Linked DNA regions of Arabidopsis thaliana. The protein of the gene in region 1 interacts with the protein of each later gene in a pairwise test. Each region holds a gene or a part of one and is shown on either strand. Other genes may lie near its edges.

What was found.
Region 2: the proteins of CLC-C (region 1) and NDPK2 interact in a protein complementation assay, tested with the Arabidopsis thaliana proteins (one large-scale study listed by BioGRID).

What each region holds. Positions count from the first base shown.
Region 1 is NC_003076.8:20,286,314-20,296,847, forward strand, and holds CLC-C (chloride channel C), read right to left. Parts: upstream 6,120-10,534; 5' UTR 5,831-6,119; coding exon 5,625-5,830; intron 5,126-5,624; coding exon 4,925-5,125; intron 4,729-4,924; coding exon 4,551-4,728; intron 4,440-4,550; coding exon 4,177-4,439; intron 3,866-4,176; coding exon 3,596-3,865; intron 3,474-3,595; coding exon 2,342-3,473; intron 2,266-2,341; coding exon 2,176-2,265; 3' UTR 2,171-2,175; intron 2,090-2,170; 3' UTR 1,742-2,089; downstream 1-1,741. Other genes in the region: MAD1 (mitotic checkpoint family protein), read left to right, coding at 18-180, 468-558, 655-724, 1,038-1,166, 1,250-1,288, 1,373-1,462. UniProt on the Arabidopsis thaliana protein: Voltage-gated chloride channel.
Region 2 is NC_003076.8:25,369,927-25,378,221, forward strand, and holds NDPK2 (nucleoside diphosphate kinase 2), read right to left. Parts: upstream 3,979-8,295; 5' UTR 3,913-3,978; coding exon 3,673-3,912; intron 3,493-3,672; coding exon 3,436-3,492; intron 3,291-3,435; coding exon 3,204-3,290; intron 2,984-3,203; coding exon 2,903-2,983; intron 2,809-2,902; coding exon 2,696-2,808; intron 2,607-2,695; coding exon 2,557-2,606; intron 2,264-2,556; coding exon 2,196-2,263; 3' UTR 1,978-2,195; downstream 1-1,977. Other genes in the region: AT5G63290 (Radical SAM superfamily protein), read right to left, coding at 1-53, 145-968; AT5G63300 (Ribosomal protein S21 family protein), read left to right, coding at 1,196-1,849; NPX1 (nuclear protein X1), read right to left, coding at 4,487-5,728, 5,818-5,948, 6,041-6,107, 6,205-6,329, 6,419-6,502, 6,587-6,659, 6,826-6,896, 7,295-7,453 and 2 more. UniProt on the Arabidopsis thaliana protein: Major role in the synthesis of nucleoside triphosphates other than ATP. The ATP gamma phosphate is transferred to the NDP beta phosphate via a ping-pong mechanism, using a phosphorylated active-site intermediate. May activate MPK3 and MPK6.

The DNA.
Region 1 (10,534 bases):
TAACATATATTTGGCAGCTGGGTCATGGTGATTATTCTGCCGCAAATACAAGGGTTTTGCGCATGGTGAATACTCTTGGTGTTGAAAACGAGGCAAAACAAACAATAGAGGCTTTACAAGCTGAGTTACAGAAGACAAAAGAAAGACTTCAAGCTGTTGAAGAATTAAAGAGCCAGTCTGGTAAATTTCTGATTGTCGACCTTTCCTGTTTTTGATACTGAGTTTGCTACAAGTCTACCATTCAATTTTACTCTCACCACAAAATTCACTGGAGAAGCATACCTTAATTTCTCTGTGACCCTATTCTCTACATCATATTCTATGTTTCCGAGAATAAAAGGGAGGGCCAAAATCTTTCTGTTGATCTGCCTCCGGAGGACTTGAGAAGAAATATTGTAGTGTTTCAAAAATGTTATTCTTATTTACTAAATATGCTTTACTGTAAATTCTTTTTCATGAATATTCAGGAGATGCTGGGAAGCTAGTTGACTCTCATATAACTGGAAAGATTGCTCAACTAAAAGAGCAAAATGCTACGCTTGAAAAACGTGAAGAGAGGTTTGTTACTGATAAATGTTTAACATGTCCTTTGTGCAAATATGACCTTGATTTCCCATACTAAAACATATGTGGAGCCTATGAATTATGAAACAGGTACAAAACTGTTTTTGCTGATAGAATTTCCGTGTTTAGAAGGGCTTGTTGTGAGCTTTTTGGTTATAAGGTATGCCACTTGCTCATAATTATGTCGTAGCACTCAAATTTTATTCTTTAGCATTACAATGGTTCCCTGAAGGCAATGATTCTGGATATTTCAGTTTTCTGAATGTTGACTATCACATTGTAAAATGTAATGTTCGTACTTTTGTCCATTTTTTACGGTCTATGAACTGCGCGTTTCTGTTGCAAAGAGGGATTCAGCTATTGCTATCTATAGTTTTCCTTACCTTCCGTTATTCGTGTAGATAGATGATCAAAGAGTCTTATTCATCTACAGAACTTGTAAACTTGTGAATTCCTTTTGAAAACTCTGGCAGATTGTAATGGACGAACATCAGCGTCCCAATGGAATCCCAGTGACTCGGTTTACTCTCCAGTCTATATATGCTCAAAGTGATGATGAAAAACTCGAGTTTGAATACGAGTCAGGAAACACCAGTATTCTAGTAAGTGATTCTTGTAAATTGTATAACTTTGATATGCTGCATTTGAATCAGTTAATCAACTGATACTGATTTAATTCCTTCAGAACAATGAGTATGCCTCTCAGGGCGACATAGCGAAGCAGGTAAAGTACAGACATAGTTTTCTTCCTTCATAAGCGCAGTGTTCTCAGTGAAGTGTAAAAACTCATTCTGTGTGTTTCTTGCAGATAGAAATATTCATCAGGAAATTCAACTCGATTCCAGCTTTTACAGCCAACTTAACGATGGAATCATTCAACCGTCGGACGCTATATTGAGAGCACTGCGTCCTTATTTCCAACTCTGTGTTTTGTATATTTCTAAAGCCTGCTGAATAGAAACTGAAACTCGAAAGCCGCAGCTTAAAACACTGGCCTTATCTATGTCTACCTCTGGTTCGTTATGTCTGCTATAATTGTGGTGTCAGTAACTCTATTTTGGTATGAAAGAAACTAGTTTCGATTTACTCAGAAAGAATATCTAATGTCATTCTCTGATTATGCGTTTATTACTTTATAGTCACCAAAAACAGTAACACTTGAATATCAAGCAAACAGATTTTTATATAACCATGAATTTAAAACACAAATAATACACAGACTACCTACATGTAAAGAAGATTAGAGCAAAATTGATATCGACTTATAATATAATTACATGTTTAGTTTTTATTTATTGTTTTGAATAAATGTTGTGAAAACCAAAACCCAAAAAAAAAAAACTTGTATCACCTCATTACACAATCATCCTTCCCCTGCTTTTCCATAATCAATCTCAACGAATAATTGAAATAAATGCCTAAGTGACATTGGTCATCTGGGCTTTTAATTTTTTGATATTCACATATTATTACATTGTAGATCTTTAGAGAACTCTCACGTACTTGTTTCTCCATTCTTTATTACCTGCAAGAACAAGTGCCAATTGGATTTAGAAAACAATTAGAGCAACCAAATGCAGGCAACAACGAAGACTAAACGGCTAACCTTATTCACTTGAGGGGATCAATGTGAGGGTAGAGTCCCAGGACATGTTCCGGCATGAAATCATGCCTTGTCAGTATTCCAACAATAGGCGGTCTCTGCAATACGAAAACATACGCGTTAGAAACATAAACAAGTCTAGCGAGAGGAAGAGAGAGCGAGAAAGAGACTGACCCCTGGTGTTTTAGGCACCACACACAAGTGGCGAAGACCAAGTTGCCGGAAAAGAATAGCCGCCTTAGCTAGAGACAGAGTCTCAAGCACAGTGTAAGGAGATGTGTTAGTGATGGGATGGAGATCAACATACATCTCCATCTCCTCCTCACTTAGATCCAAATCTTCAATCTTGAGCCCCTTACCTAACCCTGCTTTACCAAAGTCACGGGCTTTGCAACTTCTCAGAATTTGTGAACCAAAAGTTGTTCTCTGCTTCGAGAATTTCTTCCCTTGGAGAAGCACAAGGAGATGAGATCTCAAGGCAATCCCACATAGCTCAGAAGCTTCTGTGAAAGGTGGCTCATCAATTACAGGGAAACCATTATGTCTTGTCATTTTTAAAGCCTGCCATATTACCCCAACCTTTTCAACTCTCGAAAAGGATATCAAAGCTCCAGAAACTACGTCCTTTGCAACCAAATTGCGCATGTACGGCTCTGCATGGTCTTCCATGTAAGGCAGTCCTTTCATTGTTACAATCTGGTCATAGACCCCCCTGTTGAAACAATCTGCAACCGTTTTTGATATAAGGAGTACAAGCATCACCAGTGGCAGCATTAGGAGATTATTTGTAAGTTCGAGCAGTATAACACATAGAGAGACCGTCATTCTCATTGTGCCTCCAAGGAAGGAAGCAGCTCCGAGCAGAGAAAACAGACCTACATCAAGCTGAGATACTGGACCCAGCAGTCTACCCACTAGTCGTCCATAAGAGGCTCCAGCAAGAATGACAGGAATGAAAAGCCCAGAGGGTATGGCTATGCCGTATGTTATGATGCCAAGGCAGTACACTGCGACAAAGAAGATGGCAAGGGTAGAGATATGGAATTCATTTTCAGATCTGGATGTGAAAAGATTACGGATTGCATCATCATTGGTGTTGAGAAGTAGGGAGGAAAGGTCATTGTAATGGTTTGGAGGACACTGGAAACTCTTATAGATGCTGGATCGACCTACACTAGGGCACTTTCCCTCCTCTATGCCAATAGGACATGGAGTACACTGTGAAAGCCATGGGAGACCAAATGCGCAACACGAGCTCAAAATGGAAACTGCCATTACAAGCATAATTTTAAATCTCGGACCTTTCCTGCAAGTTATGGAAAGAACAAATTAAGAAAATCGAAAAGAGGCAAAGAAATGATATTATGAAAGAGTAACTCGTTGGAAAATGACTTTATGAAAGAGTTAACTTGTTGAGAAATGACGTACTCGTTTATAATGCTATATGTGCGGAGGACTTTGTCCACAAGGTAGTTGTAAAGGCTTCCAAGCACACCACCAATAACTCCAAGGAATACTATTGCTAGCAAATCTGGAGTGCTATATAGCACTGGTCCCGAGTTTACATCAAACATGATGAGACCTCCTTTCCCAAACAGTCCACATCTCCCAGAGCGACAGAACTCAATCAAACTTCGTAAGACCACTGCTACAACTGCGGTAGTGAAGAATGTCCTCCAGAGAAGGGCATTCCTCCACCTAACGATATTAAAAAAGTGAGACATAATCTTTTCCAAATGGATATAGCAATATACGCAAACCGTCTAAACTCTACACTATGTATCACTTAGATTTCCTCGCTCACTAACTTCCATTTGCATAAAGAAGTCATGTTGGATACATTATGTTTTCAACTAGACAAACATGGTGACCTTCTTGCACTTTTGCATTAAGACTTCTAGCTGGGGAGAAGCTTCCCCTTTCAGAGTCTGTCTACTACAATGACTAGACTTGCATAAGGTATCACTCCTTGGATTAGTTATAAGGAGTTAGAGAGAAACAGAAAATACCATGAAGCAGCTTCTTCAAGGGCGAAAAGCACTCCTCCAACTGGAGCACGGAAGGCAGCTGCTACACCAGCAGCAGCCCCGCAAGTGATCAGGTCTCTTCTGTCTCTATCGTTTTTGAAGAATCTGAGCCACTTCCAAGTCAACCGGTACTTTTTGGAACCACCTTGTCCAAGTAAATTAGCAATGCAAGCACCAGTATGAACCATAGGCCCTTCTTTTCCAACTACAAATCCGGCAGCAACTCCAAATATAGAGCCAAAGATCTACCAATACGAAATATTTCGTATCAGAAAAGGCCACAGAGATGAACAAAGACATCAATGCTAAATTCAGGATGAACAAAGACTGCTTGGAAAGTTGTTTGGGGATCTTACCTTAACAAAGAGGGTGCTTGGAGCTAATATTGAATAAGCATCTATACCATTGAGATATGCTTTAACCTCAGGTATGCCAGATCCTGCCGCCGCAGGAGCAATAAAAGCACAGAGTGAAGCAGCAGCAGTTGCCAAAATTAAGTTACAACCAGCAAATGCAAAAAATGCCTGGAAATATCTGCAGTATTTGAGAAACATCCGATGTCATTTATCATTCTGATCCACACATATATCCCTGTGAGCCTTAATTCTCATAACAGTATTAACCATTAAGAAATTTAGATATAATCAGTGAATAAACAGTAACTGAAACAGGATAGAAAGTGCTAAAAAATGGCGTAGAAGCAGAGATAAACAACAAAAGCTAGACTTACTTTTCCTTGAGCATGAGATTACCGATGAGCAAGAGTTTAAATCCAGCTATATTCTCAACACCAAGGTTATTCAAAAAGCCAACAAGTCCAGTAGCTAAACCAATAAGAAAAGCAAGCGCCCATTTGAGAAACGTATACTGAAGTATCTCAATCTTCTTCCTAGACCTCCAGTCTTGCTTGAAAAAATCATTTTCGAAGATCCTGCCAAATAAAAATCCCAAGTCAAGATCCTGATATGTTTACATAAGCTATAATCATTCACACCAAATTAGGCAAGACACCAGTAGGAGACACACACAAAGACAAAAAGTCAAATTCAGTCTGAAACTATGATTGCATCATCATAAAGACCCCAAAAAGATTTGCACTTTTCTCAATCTAATAGATTGTATAGCATACCTATTGCTAGGTGAAGTGGCTATGATGTCTCTCAAAAGCTAAAAGCTTCAATTTTTACCCAAAAGTATTAAAAATGAAAACATTATGATTTAAAAATTATACATGGGATGGGACCCAAAATGTTACATAATCCAAAACTTCATAGACTCATAATCAAATTTGAGATGAAGTTTAAAAACTAATCGAAAACATTTAAGCATATTAAAGTCTAATTGCCAAAGTTAAAAACTTTATCCAGAAAAAAGAACGAAACATCAAGTTATGTGCAGAAGAAAAGAGAAGAGGGAGAAAAAGGACAGACTCGTAATCAAGGCTTTCGATGGGACAAGTATTAGCTCCGACAATAGCGATCTGAGAAGTTGTGTTCTTTCGATTCCTAGCGAGAAGAGGCTGTCGAAATCCGACAGATCCATCGTCTAGAATCCCAGATATCTTCCTCTCGAAACCATGTAAAGCTCCTCCTTCAACCTCTATATCATGATGGTCTCCTTCGTGCCGATCATCCATCTCTCCTCCACGATCTTGTTTTTTTAAGAAAATAAAATTGTTTGTTTTCGATTTCCGATCAGATTACAAAGCCACAGAAATGGAAAGCTATATAATTGGGCACGAGATTCCTGGAATCATGAACCTCTCGCGCTCAAGCAGATGCTAAAAAGTCGATTTTTTTATTGTTTTTTTTTCTTTTTTGTTTTTTTTTGAGGGAGGTCGTAGAGTGGTATGGGTCAGGAATTTTGTTTTTTTATTTGATCCTAATTTAGGCAAAACTAAACTCTCTTTCTTTGTTATGATTTTCATAAGGATATATTCTTCTAAATAAATAAAAAAGTCAATAACAAAAAAAAACTTGCATAAATAAATTATCTAATTATGAAAATTTTCATAGTATTGTTTTTGCCCAACAAATTTGTATACAATCGTGATATTTTATGGGGGAAAAAACTATTTGTTTTTTATATATATTATTTTGAATTGATTTTTCATAAATAATTTCTCTCAAATTTTACAACTGTGTCCGATATACTTATATAAAAATAATATATGTATATTTTTTTCACATGATCTTGTAAAGTTTGTTTTGATTCTAACTCAATTACAGATATTTTTGAAATCTTACTTCTCATGTGTGTTTATTTAGTTTCTAGATATGAAAATTTTGTTGTTAAAATTTTATAATGATTTTTAGTTCCCAAAACTGGATTTCAACAAGAAACCAAATGAGCCCAAACTAGGGTAGACATCGTCCAATTATACGAACCACTGTGTATTTGCCAGACTTGTTGAAACATCACACAATTCAAGAGAAGAACAAAATCTATTGGATTTAACATTAAAACCAAAACAAAAAACAACATCTATTGGTTAGAAAGTCTTTTAAACTTTTATGAGAGGTGGCTACTGGCTAGATCCAATCAAATTAAGATGTCTTTGGTGTAAATCAGTTGATCCTTCTCTTTTTTTTTTTTTTTTAGTTATTAGATCAACAAGGTATGCATTCACTTTTTAACAATTCTTCTTATTCATGCAAGATGGAGAAACACGATAAAGAAATGCAGATATTGTTTTCCTTTAGTTATGGAACCTGACCTTGACATATTTTATTATTGCAAAAATTTATGGGGAAATTGATCGGATCCAATCGTTTATTGTCTCATCAAAATCATGGTTTCCTACCGAATTAATTTCTTGATTGTGTTGTAATACACATGTTGAATTCATTCCAAGGAACACTCTCAAGTTTTAATAGATTGTGGGGTTAGTTTTAAAATCTGCCACAACTGTATAATTATTAATCAACTCGATCTTTGTTTTGATGGTTTTTCAACATTTGATAGGCCAGTCGACATCTTAGTGTCTCCACTTCTTTTATTTTGAGTATAATGGTGAAAGCCACAACTAAGATATATTAACATCCGCAATGAGTTAATGTACTCACGATAGTTGAACTTTGTTTGGAAGCTCCTAACTCTCTGTTTTTTTTTTTTTTGATCAAGCGGAAGCTCCTAAATCCTATCTAGCTAAAAGACCATCATCTCCAATGTATGTTTTTTACTCTAGAATATAGTAATTCTAAAATAGAGTAGGGGTTTTCTCAAATGTATCATTTTATTATATTTTATTCTAAAAAGAATAGAGTAAACATTAGAGTTACTCCACATATATATAGAGTAATCATATCCTTTACTGTGTTTTAGAATGATGTATAGAGTGTGGAATTAAAAATGATTTTACTCTAATAAATATAGAGGGAAAATTTAAGTGGAGTTGAAGACACCCTAAGATATCTACAAAAAAAATGATTGTGTTAAAACTATAGAAATCTTCGTTGACATGTTGCGGAATATGGATGCTAGTGGTACAAGCCATAACCTATATCTTTGTATACAAGAAAACAGTTTTATGGAATGCTTTTGAAATCAAATCATATGAGTTTGGATTTAAGGGCCGTTCGCGGGTGAGAGCAAGCGACGGGCACAACTGCAAGAGCACCGTGGGAATATCCTGAATATTCCAAAGGCCATACCATATACATGGTTGCAGATCTGAAGGATCTAGGATTTAAACTTTTAGGGTAGTTGCATTAATAACGTGGACATCAAGGTTCTAGGATAGAATTTTGAATCAATCTTCGTCGACTTATTGTCAGACTACCATTATTTATCAACTACAACGTGCATTTACTATATAAAAAATAGTTTTCTAGATTATTAATATAGTGTAGTGAAGTCTTAAACGCAACAATATATAGAACAGAAACATCATCAATATAAAATTAAGCATGTTTAATTAAATGATACATCGTCGGAATTATTTTTTATGCATCGGATAAACGTGTACGCATGAGAATGAACGTTTGCGTCAACTTTATCCCAAACATAAAGAACTAAAGAAGGATTCATTATCCTTTGCACAAAAGAAAAGAAACAAGAAAAAAAAATGATTCTTTTATCCATTAGAAAATAAAGAATTGAGCAGATTACACTATAATGCAATCCATATAATTTAGTCCTATACTTGTAATCATCAAATATATGTTAAGAAAATTAGGGATGGTTGAAGCTAGCCGTACTTAGATAATATAGTGGATGATATCATTGCCATAAATAAATTAGCAATGACTAACTAATGATGGTTTATTTCTAGAGTATTGGTCCAATGCCATAAAATGGTTTCAACTTAATAGTAATAATTACAAAATTTGAATTTAACTAGATTTCTCATTTCGATTTCTTAAATGGAGGAACAAATTGTAGATATGTCATATGTAATCTAATTTGTTCGTGCAGAGTTTTTGAGCAAAAAGTTATGCATGTGATTCTTGAATTAGTGAGAATTATTAAGGGCATCTCCATCAGTGAGATATTTTCTTGGTTTCTCAAAAAAGAAAGATATTAGTATTTTAATAAATATTAGTTATATAATTAAATTTTAACAATAAAATAATATTTGACCAATAAATGATATACAAGTGTTTTTATGGGTTTCTCAGAGTTTCTCACTTGAGAGACTAATTCTAGTCTCTCTCATACTTTTTGATTATATTTTATTTTTCTATTGAACAGTTTCTAAATGAGAAACCATTGATGGAGATGGTTAAACCACCAAAAAGTAAATAAGTTTGCACCAAAAAGAAAACTGTCAACCTCTCGGGACGCACCATGTGTGAGGGGAAAGAGAGTTTTCCTAAAAGACTTTGCAATGCTCAAATTAGAAAATAATAAAAAAGGGTTGGTTAAAGGAAAAAGCAAACGCATACAAAATGATTTGGATGTAAACAAGTGTGGATGTAAACAAGTGTGCAAGTGTTTGTGAGAATTTTGAAAGTTTCTTATTCTAGAGATAAATATTCTTCTTGAGAGAGATAATAAACTCAAGTTCAATCGCCTCTTTGAGTAAAGTTCATAGCTAAGTTTTGCAAGTCTTATGATTGCTAATGAGCTTAGTAATTAAATTGCTTTAGACATAAAGACATTCGGAACCGCTCTGCATGCCCTTGTGGGTTAACTAGTCAAATTCTACATTTAAATTCAAACTAAATCATAAATAAATTAATCATAAATTTTATAAATATTTGTATATTGATGTCGTTTACAAATTTTAGTGTTTTCTGTATGATTGATTATTCAAATTAATCTCTAAAGTTCGAGTTTTTGTTTGGTTAAAATAATTAAATAGTAAAGTAATAAGTATATTAAAGAGACAAATATAAAAAATATATAAATAAGTTGTTACTTTTTTAAGTCTATGTTTATTTTTCGAAAATTTAATTAATTTTGATATGAAACTTTCTTTAAAAATTGGACTATTCTACATACATTATAGCATTTGGAATAATGTATATACATTTATTAATTAAATTAGTTACATAAAAATACGCAAAAATAAAATAAAAATGAACTATTCATTTGACAGAGATCGTTAGTTTGAGTGGAAATGAATTTTAGATATCTAGTGACAGCATATACAGATAAATTATTAGAAGCTGGATCGAGCTTAAGAAAAATGTATGGACCTCTATCGAAATGTTTTTAAAAATCAATCAAAACAATCATCGGTGGTGGATGGTGGGGGGTTTGTGAACAATGGATGATGAAATGGTGGGCATGTGAACGGTGGATGGTAGTAACTTACATGGTGGATGGCTAAATCACGTATGGTGGATTGTATATTTTTGGATGGTGAATCGTTGAATGGTTGATTATGAATCCAATTTTTCTTCATTTGGTTTTTCTTTAAAAAATCTCATTTAGTAAATTGCGATGTTTTAAAAAGTGGTAGGGTTAAGCGGATGGTGATCAACGCCTAAAACAAATAATTGGAGTTTAAACTATTTTATGCGGTTAAGCATTTACAACATAAAAGGGATTTTTTTTTTTTTTTGACAAAAGGCTTCAATTAAACTTAAACCATAATCGGTACAATTGTTTTGAGGGCACATTTCGCGATAGCATCCGCTTCACGATTGTGATTTCTAGAGATGAAAGAAAAACTTGAGTGATGAAATTTAGAAGATAATTGCAGGATATCGTGGAAAATCCAGTGGAGTTCCAAAGGAGGATCCTTCGAGTTAATGGCTTCGATCAGTTGTTTTGAATCTGAAGCGATAGATAAAAGGTTATAAACATAATGTATAGATAAACGTTATACAAACATCCATTAGAAAAATAAAAATATTAAATCATTAACAAGAATTAGACCAAAATATTTACG
Region 2 (8,295 bases), 5.1 Mb from region 1:
AAAACTCTGCAGACTGTGTTTCTGAAGGAAGAGGGGACTGTCCTGGAGTGTACCTACACAAGTTCATGAACCCAATTCGTTTCTGTTCAGATTACATTCAAGTTCTTAAGCATCAGTAAGCAAACTTGAACTACGTACACTTACAAATTTCCAAACTTTGTGCCTTGTTCGACTTGCAGATCATATACAGAAACATGATTGGGCTGTGATTCGATAGCTAATCTCAAACTCTCTTCCCACATCTCCAAAGTCTGGTGAGGCAGAGAAGAAATAAGATCCATACTCCAATTCTCAACTCCACATTCTTTAACAAACTCTATTGCTTCATACACTTGAGAGACACCATGAGCTCTTCCACAAGCTTTCAAAAGCTCATCTTGAAAAGCTTGAACTCCTAAAGACACTCTGTTAACTCCCAATTTCATCAAATCCTTCAGCTTCTGACCATCAAACGTGCCTGGATCCATCTCCATTGATATCTCAGCATCTGGACTCAGCCCGAAATTCAAACTCAATGTTTCCAGAATCAAAGAAACAAGCTTCGGAGGAACAAGAGAAGGCGTCCCACCACCGAAAAACACCGTTTCTAGATTCGGGTTCGTATCAAAATCCGTCCTTGTCGCTTTTATCTCTCTAACAAGCAAATTCACATAGTTCGTGATTCTCGGGTCATCTTCTTTTCCTTCCTCGTAGACATTAGACGGTCTGGCTGAAGAAGAAGACATGCCTAGAGCTAAGATAGGAAAGTCACAATAATGACAGCGTTTGCGACAAAACGGAAGATGAACGTAGGCTGAGGTTGGTGGACCTTTGTGTAACGTAGTAAGATTGGTTGACGCATTTCGTCGAGCACTTGGTGGAGTATCTTGTAGAACAACCTTACTAAAAGCTCGAAAAAACAACTTCGATGAGCACTTGGGTTTACCTGTAAACGATGAGAAAATTGGAGAAATCGTTGTTTTCAGCATAATTACCAAATAAAACGAGAGAAAAAGAAAGAGAGCCAGAGAGACGAAGAGAGAAAGCTTTCAAAGATCAAAGTTCACTGGTCTCGTTTTATATGCTTCAACGTCGTCGTTTTAGTCAGAAAGTAGACTCACTAAAGACTTGACCATCTAATTAACACACTAATTACAATTGAAAAATATTATAATAAGAATGAAACGATTATTCACTTATTCAGACGGAAAAAAAAATGGCGCTAGAATCGATAGTCTCTCTCTCGGAGCTTCTCTCTTCCCTTCTCTCGTCGAAACCACCGTCTCCGTCGAGTCTGAAACCTATCACGCTTCCGTCTTCCGTATCCGCGAGAACGTCACAGCATTTGTCGATGACGACGAAGATTTTAACGGCCGAGCACGATGACGTCATCAATCGAGTGGCGTATCCTTCGCTGGCGAACGCGAATCTCGTATTCTTCAAGTCCAGTTACTACAACGTCGAGGTGGTGCCTAAAGACGGCGAATCGGAGGAGCAGCTGGTTAACGATTTCAAGAGGTCGTGTTTCAGAGCGGGTGTGTTGCAGGAATCTCGAAGACGACGCTTCTTCGAGAGCTCTCTGGAGAAGAAGACGCGGAAGACCAAAGAAGCTGCGAAGAAGTATCGGAAAAGGTCAGATTTTTTTTTCACTTTTTCTTCTTTCTTTCGAAAAACACTTGGAGAAGTTGAGTCAATAGATTTTGATTTTACAGGAGACCAAACCCTAAACCAAAACCACTATCAACTTCAGAGATCCGCAAGCACAACAGAAATGCATCCAGAGAAGACGAACAAGACGATCACTGGGAACTTCCTCCTGAGGACATTGAGATTCCATATACCAACCGGTCTTAGAAGTAAACCGGAATGATATTCCGGTACACTGATCTGAGCAATCTTAATCACGCAGCATCTGCGTTTTGTAAAGCCACTCTTTTGTATGTTCTTTTAGCTTGAGATTAGAAAATTTTCATTGCTCGGTGTAGAGTGAAGATGAATGATTTTGGAGGTGTCTGTAACGTAGAACCAAATGCAGATGAATCTGTAACTAGTTTTGATTACATGACAAGTGATCACAGATATGAGAAGAATCAAGCCATAGATTGGCAGTTATATTATATTGCCGCCCAAAATCAGGAACAAAACACCAAAGCTCATCATCGGTAACAAGAAAACAAGTAAGGACACCATTATAATTGACTCTGTCTTCTCAAGGATCACTCCCTTAGCCATGTAGCTAGAGCCGAATCCCACTTGCATAGCTCGCCCTCTTTGAACCACAGACCTATGCCACAACCACAAGAGCCAAAATGTCAGCAAATGAAAACTAAAAGTTTAGCATACTAAGGAATGAGAGTGATTGGTCAAACTAAGTAAATGAAGAAGTGATAGTAATGGTTTAAAACAGATATATTGAACCTAACAATTTCAGTAATCAAGTATGATCTAATCTAGTTATGTTATCAAGTTAATTTGAAGCAGTTTGAACCACGTTGATTTGCCCCTAAACTGGACATAGTCAATGTCTCAACAATGAAAGATGGGTGAATGATTTGAACAAAAAACAAGAAATCTCACCAATCTCACGCTTGCCGTTTTCAGGGCTGTCACTACCATGCACAATGTTCCTGCAAATTGCATAATTTAAAAATATCAAACCATGAGAATTATTTTAAGTGCTTACTTCCAACAATTTTAAAGATGATAGAAGTCCAACCTTCCGGTTTGCACAGCAAGATCTCCTCTTATAGTACCAGGTTCAGCTTGAAGCGGATCTGTTTTCCCTATTAGCTTCCTGGCTGAAGCAACAACACCAACACCTTCCCAAGCCTTTACCAGGTTTAAAACATCACATGCAATTAACTCATCTAATTACAACTTGAAAACAAGTAAAAATCAAATTAGAGCATAGTTATACCCATACCATACACACAACTGGACCTGAAGTGATGTACTCAATCAGGTTAGGAAAGAATGATTTAGCACTAAGATCCTTATAATGCTCCTGGCAATTGAGATAAACACACAAGAATATTAATTATGTCAATCGAATATGAAAAAAAAATGAGGCAGCGTCATCTTACGCAAATGTAGCGAATAAGTGAAATATGCAAGTCATGATCAGGCTTCAATTTCTCGATACTTGTCAATGATTTATTAGTTATATCACATTAAGAAGCAATCTAAAGTTATCAAACTACTGATGTAATGAGTGAGTGTCAAACCTCAGCCAATTCTTTTGGGCACTGAAACATCTTGAGCCCAATAAGTTTAAACCCCTTTTTCTCAAAGCGAGAAATGATTTCTCCTACCTAAGAACATCAAATGAATCATACATTCATAATTTAAGCCAAGATAGTGTAATGAAATAACATTCAAAGCTCCATAGAGTTCCAAGATACATAATTTAACCTCAAAATCAGAAGAAGAAAAAAAATGAAAAGCAAAAACGCTTACAAGGCCTCGTTGTATGCCATCAGGTTTCACCATAATGTAAGTCTCCTCAACGTCCTCCTGAAACAATACAGAAAACAACGTAAGAACAATCAAAAGGTCACTAAATTGCATTGAGATTCATCAAATTAGAATATATCCAAACTAATTTGAATCCTAAATTCCTGATTTCGGAGTTTAATCAATGTAAGTACTAAGAAAACAAAGTAATTCGCATAAATGGAGGGGAAGCACACAAACCATAGAAGCTACAAGGTGAGGAAGGAAGATTCCCGATTCGGCGGAGCTGGAAGCGCGAAGACGGCGGCGAGACGCGGAATTGCGAGAGAAAAGACGGAACTGAGGACGAAATGCGGCCAACGCTGTTCTAAAATTAACCCTGGCTGGAGAACAGTGTGGATTGAGACTTGCCGAGTTTCTCTCCGGCGGCGAAGCCACACATAGGGGAGTCCATTTACTAACTACAGTCGCTCCCACCATTTTCTGCGCTTTGTCTTAGCTTCTCTCAGTGTCTTCGCATCATCATCTTATAAGAACAAAGTTAATTGACATAAATACCCTTTATCCAGAAGCGAAGATAATTTGGGTTTAGTTGATCAATCAAAAAGTATCAGTGCTCAGAAGTAATTTAAAAAGTGATCTCGAGTACAAAGAGTGTCTCGTTTAAATGGAGGAAACAGACTCTTTCTCTTTCCCTGTACAGTTTACTCTTCTAAAAGATTAAAAAAAACAAAAGTCTGCACATTTCAACAGTCGCACAATTTGCTGCTTTAATACCAAACCAAACCATCTTTCTTGTAGCAAAATTGTTTTTTTCTTTTTCTTTTTTCGTCGATTTAGAATCATTGTCAACAGAGTCACGTTGAAAAATAGGCAATACAGACTCATCGTCTTGTCTTCTAGATGTATCTGGCTTTGCCTTTCTTTTGCTTGCTTTAGCCATTTCACGCCACATCAAATTTACATTTTGTGCATAGAAGAATCAATGCGTAAACATCCCCAACTTTTTCTTTTCATCTTGTTGCTTTTAACAAGACCCGGAAAAAAGACTTCATCAATCAATTTCTACATCTATATCTTCCTCTCCCTGGTCAACAAGGTCAGTTTTTTGCCCTGCCTTGTCCACAACTTCGGTTTCTACCTTTCCATTGCCATCAACTACAGTTTCGTTTCCTCCCTTGTCCGAAACTTCAGTTCCTTGCACTCCCTCACCATTGTCAACAGCTTCATTTTCTTCTACCCCCTTTTCGACAACTTCGCTTTTTTGCTCTCCCAAGTCGACAACTCCAGTTTCTTGTTCTTCTTTTTCAGTAACTCTACTTTCTTGCTCTGGCACATTCGCCAATTGTTCTTCTCCTTCAATTTTATTGATGGATTTTTCATCTTCTTGGTTCCCATTATCTTGTGTCTTTTGGCTTACCAGTTCTTCGTTTCCACAATCGAGTTGGTTCTCTCCCTCTTCTCTGTGAGGACTAAGTGTTTGTCCTTCACTTTTGTCAAGGGAAAGTTCTTTTCCTACTCCGACAACTTCAGTTTCTTGCTCTCCTGTATCATCATCTCTACTACTTTCTTGCTCTAGCACATTCTCCAATTGTTCTTCTCTCTCGCTTTGATTGATTTTTTCATCTCTTTGGTTCTCATAATCTTGTGCCTTTTCGCTTACCGATTCTTCATTACCGCTAGCACGTGGGTCCTCTCTCTCTTTTCTGTGAGGACTGAGTGTACGCCCTTCACTTCGGTCAAGGGGATGTACTTCTTCCACTCCCATATCAACAACTTCATTTTCTTGCTTTCTCATATCGACAACTTCAGTTTCTTGCTCTTCCTTGTCACCAACTCCACTTTCTTGCTCTGGCATATTCTCCAGTTGTCGTTCTATTTCATTTGGGTTTATGGGTTTTCCATCTTCTTGGTCCCCATTATCATGTGCCTCTTGGCTCACCGGCTCTTCATTTCCGCTAACGAGTTGATCCTCTCCTTCTACTCTGTGAGGACTATGTTCCTGTTTTTCACTTCTGTCAAAGGGATTGTCTTCTACTTTTCTCTGGCTAAAGTGTGGCGGGTCTTCTTCTTCATCCTCATCCTCATCCATTTTCATATACAGACCTAGATGTTCTAATGGATTACTGTTGCTTTCCATCTTGAAACTACCCAAACCCAACATATCCTCACTAAACTTGGGACTCATCACTTCCATGGAAGTCGGTAATTGATCACCTTCTGTACCTGTAGCTCTAAGCATCTGGAGGTCTTCCATAAACCGTATGCCCTCGTTTATCTCCACTGTCTTTTCCATCTGCAACAGACCAGAAAGTCATTTATCATGATTGTACACCATGGTAGGGCTCTGAATAATAGAAGAGAAACTCGAAAAGTCTTTTATACCTTTTGTAAAGCTTGACGTGCAGCTTCTCTCTCTTGCTCTCTTTCCCTCCTCGCTTTTTCTGCGGCTTCTGCTTTGGCTTTTCTCCGAGCCTCCTCAGCTGCTTTGGCCTCGGCTTGTAACCGTTCTTTTTCTAATCAAACGGAAATCGCAAGAATTAAAAATAAAAGTATTTAGTTAGGAATTATGGGTACATAAGCACACTCGAATGCACTACAATCCAACCTTCCCGTAGCCGTTTTTCAAACTCCTCTCTTTCTATCCTCAATTTTTCAGGATCCCCTTTTTCACCCTGAAATTTGATGCATTAAATTTTTTGATTAAAACAATCCACAAGTTCAGGCGAGCTTTTTCGTCAACACAGTAGATCGGACACTTAAAAATTCAACCTTGGTAAAAGCCTTCTCTCGAGCTTTCATAATGGTATCAGCAAAACGATTCTTCAAGAAAGCCGCGCGGTAACGCTTATCTGGGGAATCTGGGGAAATTTGCCTCTCAGGTGGAGCAGTCTCCTCTATAATACCAAAGCATGACAGGTAAACTCATGATCTGAAAATAAACATCTATTACCATCTCCAACCTTCCTTAACTTTCATTTCTTACCATCTGGAACGAGAACTACTGCATCCATGGTGGTTGACTTTTCCCCAACAGTATGCTCAAGTTGATCCAATTCATTCAAAGAATCTACAGAGAACAAAGAATGAGTGTCGGGAAGACTTCTATATCCGAGCACTCCAACTTGCATACATCAATTATAAAGAGACTAACCATTTACAACTATCTTCTCACTGTTGCTATCATCCTCTTTTTTGTCTATACCAACTCCTGGTTGCTTTTTTTCCTAAATTAAAGAGGAGACTATACTTATTTTTCTGTAGTAATTTCACTTTTATGATTGCAAATAGTCCATGGAAATATTGGTGAGTAAATGAAAAATCTTGCAGAAATTAGAGCAACATCCAAACACAGAGACTCCATAACATAAGTTATTCCACTGTTAGATATACCTCTCTACTTGTGGGTTTTGAAGCTTTAATAGAATCTGTTTCACTCCCAGAGGAACTACAAGAATCAGAATCTGAAAGATAATCACAGAACACATCAGTATAAAAAGCACTTCCTATGAGTAAAAATAAAGCAAAGGAATCAATTCTACAGTTTGCCAAACCACAATGTAAGAACTTAATTCATTCGTCATAAACGATAACCACAGAAACTAACTATAATATCCTCTATAGCAAGGGAATAACCACACTTACTAGAGCAGAGAAAAAGCATCGAAAAGATAATATGGGACACGACGTAGGCTCAAATTACAAAACAAGACTCAGGAGTCCAATACTAATCATTTCAATAGAAAAGTTACTTTATTTCCAATCTTAACTATTCTTACAAACTGTACAAATCAATGCACTATTTAAGAGAAACAAAATGATTATTCTAAGGAAATAGAAGAAGGCTCGCATAAACACGAACCACTAGATGAAGAGCCTGATTCACTACTAGAGCTACTCGAACTGCTGCTTTCATTATTTCTACATGCAGCATCTTTTTCTATCTTAAGAGGAGGATGGCTTGAGACCGAGGGGTCATTCCCACCAACTATGTCAACATCCTCGTCAATTTGCAGATCACCTGTGATTATGAGTACATCAGATACTCAGATTACTGAAGGAAATCATTTTCGACATCAAATTAAATAGCAAAAACATACCTTTACTAGGCTGCAAAGGGGAATTACTGAATCCAGAGTCATGAACAATCTGTAAAAGAAAAGTTAAAACCAAAAGTCAAATGTCAACATTTCCAAGTGCACACAAACGATTACTAAAAATAATCAGAGAGGTTCTTTACCTCCATCTCACAAGGTTCGCTCTTTTCCATGGATTTCTTTTTCTCCCTTAAATAGTCATCCAGGAGTTTCCGAACCATGAACAAGATTTCATCAGAAAGCGCTTCTATATCTATCTCAATCTCACCTTCTCCAGATTGACCATCACTGCCACTTTGCTCTCTCAGGAGATCAGCAATCTTTTGAGGGAAATCTTCTTCTAATGCCATCAGATCTTGGCCTAATTTTTTCTTCTCACCATCTGTCATGACCAACTTAGCAGGTTCCACCCTCAGCTTGTTATCGTTCATTGCAGCTTCCTTCTTTCTCATCGGTGCTACTTCGAAAGGGATTTCAGACTCCAGAGAAGCAGAACTGGTTAGGGGAATAACTGGTGGTTTAGACATAGGTATTTTTTTCTCTATACTTTTCCATCCCGATTCAAAATATTTACTGATACCCTGAGCCATAGTATGGAACTGATTTCCTGGTGGATTGTAAGCTATAGAATTTGAAAATGTAAGACGCACATCTGCTGCAAAGTCCAAAGGACTAGAGTATTCACCTTTACACAGCCTGCTTCGTATCGTTCCAAGATCCATTGGATGTTTAATCACATTAAAATAGTCTGGAATATTCAACATCA